2 linked regions of the Diceros bicornis minor genome follow. The protein of the gene in region 2 interacts with the protein of the main gene of each other region in a biochemical or structural test. Links are inferred from orthologs where the notes say so. Each region holds a gene or a part of one and is shown on either strand. Other genes may lie near its edges.

Region 1 (3,749 bases), on a different chromosome or scaffold from region 2:
CATGTCTATGCGTTAACCACACATGTGAGCACGCCAAGATCCCTTTGCCAGGAGTCCCAGGGCAAAACCAAGACACCTCAAGGCATCTCAGCCACAAGTTTAGGGTCCTCATTTGGTGGAAAGAAAACTGAGGATCTGAGGGGAGAAGAAGTGACCGTCCAATGCCTCAAAAGGCCAAGGCAGAGTTAGATCTCGGACTTCTCTCTCCCCACCTTGCTCTGCTCCAGCCCTGGAAGGAGCCACAAGTGAGGAAGAGAAGTTGCAGAAACACGGCGGGGGTGGGGTGGGGGGTGGTATGGGATGCGGGCACCCGAGAGAGTTTAACACAAGCATTTGCACTTGTCCCACACAAGGTCATTCGCTCCAAGTCACTTTTCCCTGCTCCCGCCGGGGGCTTCCCGCCCAAGAGGCTGCTGGGCTTCGAGGCCAGCCCACCGCGCCCCCTCGGCCCTTCCCCGTGGGCCGCAGCCCCTTCCCGGCTTCTGGGTGCGGGCCGGAGTTCGGACGCCAGCTGGCCTCCCTGCCACCCGTTTCCCACGCCCGGCGCCTCTCCCCGACCGATTCTGGGGCTCCTCCGCCTGCACCCCCCGGCGCTCCCGTCAACGACCCCTTCCTCCCTCAGGACGCCCCTTTCCCCACCTCCAGAGCCGGTCCCGCCGGGGGCCCGGGACGCCGCTCCTGCCATCTCCTCCCGCCGCCCTCTCCTCGGGCGCCCACCTGGCGCGGCCCCCGCCCCCGGCCTGTCTCCTCAGCCAGCGGCCGCCTCCCAAGTCCTCCCGGCCCCGCCCCGCTCCCAGGCGGATACAGTTTGAAGCCCCTCAGGATCTCCCTGGCCCGGTCGTCCTTGGCTGACATGATGCGGCGACCGCCGCCCGCGGCTCTCCCACGCTGGCCCGGAGGAGCCTCGTAGACGGTGACCAGGAGCCGAGGACTGAGCTGCAGCCGGGCCTGGAGACCTCCGGCGAGCAGCGGCAGCGGCCAGACCCGGACCGGCCTCTCTCTCCCCTCAGCTCCCGCTCCTGATTCCTTCTCCTTCCCTCTAGCCTCGGAGCGCCCGCCCCGAAGCCAATGGAAAGCCCGCCTCGGCGATTGGCATCCTGATCAGCCAATGGAAACACTCAGCGGCTTCAAGGGGGGACGATGAGCGTCAATGGGAAGGGCCCTCCCGGGGAAGTCCCGTAGGACAAATTTTTTTTTTTTTTTTTTCATTCGGTGCTGTTGCCTAGAGTTTTCCCCAGTGGAGGATTTTAGATCTGCAGAGGCTCGAGGGGCCTGCTCCCGCTGCTGGGCACACAAGGGCTCTGAGATGACAGCGGGTTGCACCGTGAGATGTGGCGGAGACTACATTTCCCAGAATCCCAGGGGACCACAGATCCCAGCAAGCAACAAAGAGGCCCAGGGACTACAAATCCCAGCATTCCCTGCACTCTATTCCTCTGTAACTTGGACTCCAGTGTGCCGCGCAGTGTGCGCAAATTCATAAACCGTGCCTCAGGTTTGGTAGTTTCTGAATCCGGAGACTTGAAACCAGGCGGCAAGACCCTCTTCACCCTCAAAAGAAGATGACAGCCCACAGAGAGGTAACTTTTGTTTACATGGAACTCAGAAATCTCCTGCAAATCATGGTAAGGCTGCAAACAACAAACAGAAACACTGATTAAACCATGAGAGATAATAAGATAAAATGACTCCTTCAAACCTTGCTTGTTTGTTGGTCTGGAGCGCCTTTTACGTTTTTTGCAGGGGTTTCTGGTGTGCTCCTGCGTTGGACCGGGAGAGATATCGATAGTGTACTCAGAATATCAGTATAGGAAGGGACTTTAGAGAATTTGCTAATCCAACCCCTGTTGTTTTACATATGAGGAAACTGAGACCCAGAGAGGCAAGGAGATTGTCCACGGGTCACAGCAAGTTGGGGCAGAGTTAGAATTCGGCCCTAAGTTTCCTGACACTCTCTGGGCTCTTTGCACCACACTAGGGTGGCGATATTTTTAGCAGCATGGCTATGTGGTTATTCTTCTCCCTGGTGAAGTTTCCCCATCGGGGTTGAAACACCCAGAGGTTAGGTAAGCATTTATTTGGTGGATTTCCTCCAAATGAAGGAGTGTGATGTTTATCTTCAGTCTAGGTAGGACTTGGTGTTTTGCTTTGTTCTTTGTTTGTTTGTTGCTCAACGTGACATTTAACGTGATTTCAGGAACTGGGTAAAATTGTAGTGTAAGCTCAAGTTTCCTGGAAGATCTCCTGTCTGTTTTCCTAGGCTTTCCTTCCTCTTCCTGTCCCTCTCTCACCCATCTGGGCACTCACCCAATTTTTCCTTCCATGTAATTCCACAAACAGCTTTTTCAGCTTTTGTTATTTGCCAGGCTTTCTATAAAAGCTGAAAGGCATGGTCATTGCCACCAGGAAGATAACCATCTAGTTAGTGAAATAAGGAGACTCCACTGAGATTCAAGGTGGACTGTGATAAATGGCATAAAAGAAAGGACGTCAGAATGCTATAGAGGCTCTGATGGAGAGATGTATTCCATTTATTGATGGAGGAGGTCGCATTTGAACTTGAAGGATGCACAGGATTTTTTTTCTATGTTAAAAAATTTTATCTTTACATTTTTTTGTGTGTGTGTGAGGAAGACTAGCCCTGAGCTAACATCCCGATGCCAATCCTCCTCTTTTTTGCTGAGGAAGATAGGCCCTGGGCTACCATCCATGCCCATTTTCCTCTGCTTTATATGGGATACTGCCACAGCATGGCTTGACAAGTGGTGCGTCGTTGTGCACCCCAGATCCGAACCTGCGAACCCCGGGCCACCAAAGCGGAGTGCATGCACTTAACCGCTGTGCCACCGGGCCAGCCCCATCTTTATATTTTTTTGTTAATAAGGTATAACACATACAGTAAGGGCACAATTTTTGCATATGTATACACCTGTGTCACCACCCCCCAAATCAAGATATAGAATATTTCCAGCACCCCTTGTGCCCCTTTCCAATCAGTACTTCATCGTCCCATCCCAGTAACCATTCTTCTGACTTCTGTTACCATACATCAGTTTTGTCTGTTCTTGAATTTCATTTAAATGTAATCATACAATATGTACAGTATGTCTGGCTTTTTTCATTCATCAATATTTTTGTGAAATTCATCCATGTTGTATGTAGCAGTAGCTTGTTTTTCTTTAAATTCGTGAGTAGTATTCCATTGTCTGTATATAGCACTGTTGATCTATTCTACTGTTGATGGGCATTTAGGTAATCAGTTATCAATTTTTGGCTTTTATTAATAAAGCTGCAATGAGCTTCTTATATGTTCCTTCTTGTGGACTCATTTCTAGGAGAGGAGTTGCTGGCTTGTACGGTGTGCATATGATCAGCAATAGTAGATATTGCCAGTTTTCCAAAATGTTTGTACCAATTTTCACCTCCACCAGCAGTGTAAGAGAGTTCTGGTTGACTCTTATCTTTGTCAATACTGGGTGTTGTCAGTCTTTTTAATTTTAGCCATTTTGGCTAAATGTGGTATCTCATTATAGTTTTTATTTACATTGTCTGGTGTTGAGCACCTTTCCATATGCTTATATGAACATCCTCTTCTGTGAAGTGCTTGTTCAAGTCTTTTGCCCACTTTTTAAATTGCGCTGTTTGTCTTCTTACTGATTTGTAGTTCTTTGTATAGTCTGGATATGGAGTTCTTTGTCTGATACATGATTTGCAAATATCTTTTCCAAGTCTGTGGCTTATCTTTTCAG
Region 2 (3,749 bases):
TTTTAAAATTGAAATTCGCCTTTTTTACTTAACATGGCACGGACATCTTTCCATGCAGGTGCATTAACACTCCTCCTCACCTTTCTCCAAGCTTCATGGAATTCACCACACATGCATACCCCAAGCAGGGTAACTGATCCCCACTGAAGGCACTTCAATTTTTTCCAGTTTCTTGCTATTCCACACCATGCCACAGAGAACTTCCTTGTCATAAATGTTCACTTGCTGGTGCTAGAATTTCTGTAGCAGAGACTCATGGAGATAGGACGGCAGGCACACTGTGATCTCAGTTGTGTCTTAAAGCCTTTGAATAGGAGTTACGCCCACTTTGTTCCCTTGGGTGTGCTTGGTGGAGGGTAAATAGTGCTGTCCCAGGGGGCCCAGCCAGGCACCCCGTTCTGTCCAGCCCTCCCTTGTCCACAACCTTCTTCTGCAGGATGGGAAGGTCCAGACCACTCCAGATCTCTCCCTCTCCAGACCAACACCATGGAGGGACCAGGAAACGCAGTGCACTTGACTGTCGACCAGACCTGAGTTTAAATCGCTGCCCAAGCTCCTTAAACTCTGACTCCACTATCACATCTACAAAAAGGAAATAAACCTCTCAGGGTTGCCAGGGGGATGAAGTAGAAAGCACGGAGTGCTTTGTAAACAACTACACAGAAGTTAGCCGTTATCTTCAGCCGGTGCCTGACTGTTCTTTCCCACGCATCAGACAAAGCCTACTCTGGGCTGCCTACTCATATTTATCTTGTAGAGGGCTGGAAGGAGGGCTCAAAACAAGACAACAAAGCTCACCCTTCTGAGTTTACAATCTGCCTAGTCCCTTGCCTCAGTTTCCTCACTTTTTCTGGACTTGAGCGCCAAGGTAAAGAACCAAACTCTTGGACAACGTCATTCATTCAACAACAAACCACCTACTATATGCCAGTCGCTGTGCTAAGCGCCCGGTGAGCCTCAATTTTCTCAGTGGCAAAATGAATCGTGCTTCTCAACAGAGAAACGATGGGCATCTCGGGCAGGCCAATTCTTTGTGCGGGTCTGTCCTCTGCCCTCTAAAGGACAGGGACTCTACCTTGCCATTGGGACAACCCAATGACGCCCCTGCACAAACGGCCCCTGGGAGGCATTTTCGCCCTCGATGGAGAACCCTCGGCCCACCGTCTCCCATCTGAGGAGCCAGGGAAAGGGGGAGGCCCAAGATGCGCAGGATCTGGACCACGTTTCCGGGGCACAGAGCCCTATGCTGGCCCCAGGATGAGCTGGTCAACATCCTTGGGGCTCTCGGTTCTGACTCCTGAGTTAGAATTTCTCTCTTTGCAGGCAAGATACAACCCAGGAAACTTCAGGTTTCCATTCCCGGTTGAGTCTGGGATCCTGCTGCGGAGGAATGGCGGTGCCCTCGTCCCCTAAGCCCTCGGGATGTGAAGGGTTAACGCAGGTGGCCGCGCAGAAGCCCCCAGCACCGCTAGAGGGACCGCCGCAGCGGCACCGCCGGGCGACTTCGCGGTCACGTGGGGGAGAGGGCGGGACCAAGCAAGAGGCCGACCAATCGGCTGAGCTGCCGGTGGGAGTGCTAGCCAATAGGAGCAAGGAGAGGGGTCCCGGGACTAGAAAGAAACGGCGGCCGAGAGGGGGCTACCGCGACCATGGGGCTTCTGACCATTCTGAAGAAGATGAAGCAGAAAGAGCGGGAGCTGCGGTTGCTGATGCTGTATCCTCCCGGACGCCGCAGCCGCGGGGGTAGCGAGGGCCCCGCCGGGCGGGCGGTGCCAGGCGCCCCCTACCGGGCGCGGGGGCCACGGCCGGCCGGCCCGTACCAACTGCCCAGTGTGCGTCACGCACGTGGGCCCTACCAACCGCTCCTGGCGGGGGGCCGGAAGGGGGCCGTACCACTGGCTCGGGCGGGGGGTCTCCGTTCCCAAGGCCAAGGGTGTGGGCCTGAAGGCCCGCAGTGTAGGGGGGAGGTGGGGCCCGGAGGTGACCCGGACGCCACTGCCCGTCCGTCTGGCCCGAGGAGGGGCCGGTATCCTCCCCGGCTCTGACCTCCTCCCCTCTGTCTGAGGGGGGCCAAGCCCGGCCCCGCCCTCAAGGTCGGAATCCCTGGGGCGTTTGGAACCCGCCCTCCGCCCGGGGGCAGGCGGGTGTGGACTCCGCGGGTCGTTTCGACCGTGGATCGAACTGTCCCTCTCATTGCTGCCGCTCGGCCCGTCGGTGTCCCCGCGGCTGGCGGCCTGTAGGCCCGGGGCCCCGCCGACCTTCTGAGTCCCATTACCAGGCGTCCGCACTGGTTCGCCCTACTCTGTGAGGGACCCGTGGGGGCTCTGCGATCTGAGAGCTGGGCGGGCCTGACCCCGAGCTCCCCTAGCAGGGGAAGGGAGACATTTATGTGCGCAAATAAGTTAAAATAATAGTCACATCGTGTCTTAAAGAGCTCCCAGAAAGGCACAGAATTCACTTATCCGATCAATATTGAGCGCTTACTATGTGCTAGGCGCTGCCCTAGGTGCTGGGGGAAACAGCAAAATAAAAAAATCCTACCTTCATGGACGTTCTATGATGCTGGGGGGAGAAAGATATTAACAAAGCAAATGAGTAAAATATATAGTATGTATGGAATAGAATGCAGTCTAAATAAGCTGGTTAAAGAAGGCCACATTGAGTAAGTGACAGTTGATTAAAACAGAGAGGTGAGGGATGAACCATGTAGGTATGTGGGGAAGATTGTTTAAGCAAAGGGAACAGCACAGGCAAAGGCCTCGAAGGAGGAGCTCAACTGGTGTGTTCAAAGGGACGTCAAGGAGGGCAATGTGGCTGGAGAGAATGGGCAAGGAGAATACTAGAAGATTAGGACAGAGAGGTGGTGGAAGAACCACCTCCTGTAGGGCCTTGTGGTTCATGGCTTTTTCTTTAAGTGCAGTGCAGAGGGGAGGTGTGATCTGAGACCAGCTAGGCCCTTGCTCTAACCCAGGAGAGACAGCCTGGTGGCTTGGGCCAGGATGGAAGCAGTGAGGTGATGGAAGCTGGGGGACATTTTGACAGTAGGGCCCCCAGGAATTACTGCTGGATTGGCTGGGAGTGTGAGAGGGAGAATGAAATCAAGCCTGACTCCTAGGGTTCTGCCCTGAGCAATTAGAAAAAGAGGAGCCACTTGCTGAGATGGCTCCTCTGAGACATCCTAGAAATGTCAGATAGGCAGCTGGATGTAGGGACTGATGTCCAGGGGAGCAGCTGGGTGGGACGTATAAATTTGGGTGTCATCAGCATAAAGATGGTGTATGAAGCCGTGATCCTGGGTGAGAGCACTGAGGATGAGTGTGGACAGAGAAGGGAACCCAGGCTTACCTGGATCAAGAGGTCAGGGAGATGAGGATGGGTGATTTGGGAGGCAGGTGTACAGGCAAGGGCATGTCCTGGAGCAGAGGAAGGGGCAGGCCGCTGTCTCACGTGCTGCTGATGGAGCAGGAAGACGAGGGGTGAGGACTGCCCGGCCACGGGAGGGCTACGTGCGGGTCTTTAGGGGCTGACCTCAGTGAGAGCAATTTCCAGGAAGCAGTGGGAGCCTCACGGGTTCAAGAAAGGGCAAGAGGACAGAAATTGAGAGGGCGAGTATGGACAACGGTTTTTTGTTTTTTTTTTATAATTTTATTTATTTATTTATTTTTCTCCCCAAAGCCCCAGTAGATAGTTGTATGTCATAGCTGCACATCCTTCTAGTTGCTGTATGTGGGACGCGGCCTCAGCATGGC

Evidence for each region.
Region 1: the proteins of ARL2 (region 2) and PDE6D are reported together in a solved structure, tested with the Homo sapiens proteins (2 studies listed by BioGRID and IntAct, with this or other methods). The link is inferred for Diceros bicornis minor from reciprocal best matches to the Homo sapiens genes ARL2 and PDE6D.

Annotation. Positions count from the first base shown.
Region 1 is NC_080776.1:20,151,942-20,155,690, forward strand, and holds the start of PDE6D (retinal rod rhodopsin-sensitive cGMP 3',5'-cyclic phosphodiesterase subunit delta), read right to left. Parts: upstream 2,296-3,749; coding exon 2,292-2,295; intron 1,581-2,291; exon of another isoform or gene 1,454-1,580; intron 1,098-1,453; coding exon 806-1,097; intron 1-805. UniProt on the Homo sapiens protein: Promotes the release of prenylated target proteins from cellular membranes. Modulates the activity of prenylated or palmitoylated Ras family members by regulating their subcellular location.
Region 2 is NC_080770.1:8,121,376-8,125,124, reverse strand, and holds the start of ARL2 (ADP-ribosylation factor-like protein 2), read left to right. Parts: upstream 1-1,598; 5' UTR 1,599-1,649; coding exon 1,650-1,714; intron 1,715-3,749. UniProt on the Homo sapiens protein: Small GTP-binding protein which cycles between an inactive GDP-bound and an active GTP-bound form, and the rate of cycling is regulated by guanine nucleotide exchange factors (GEF) and GTPase-activating proteins (GAP).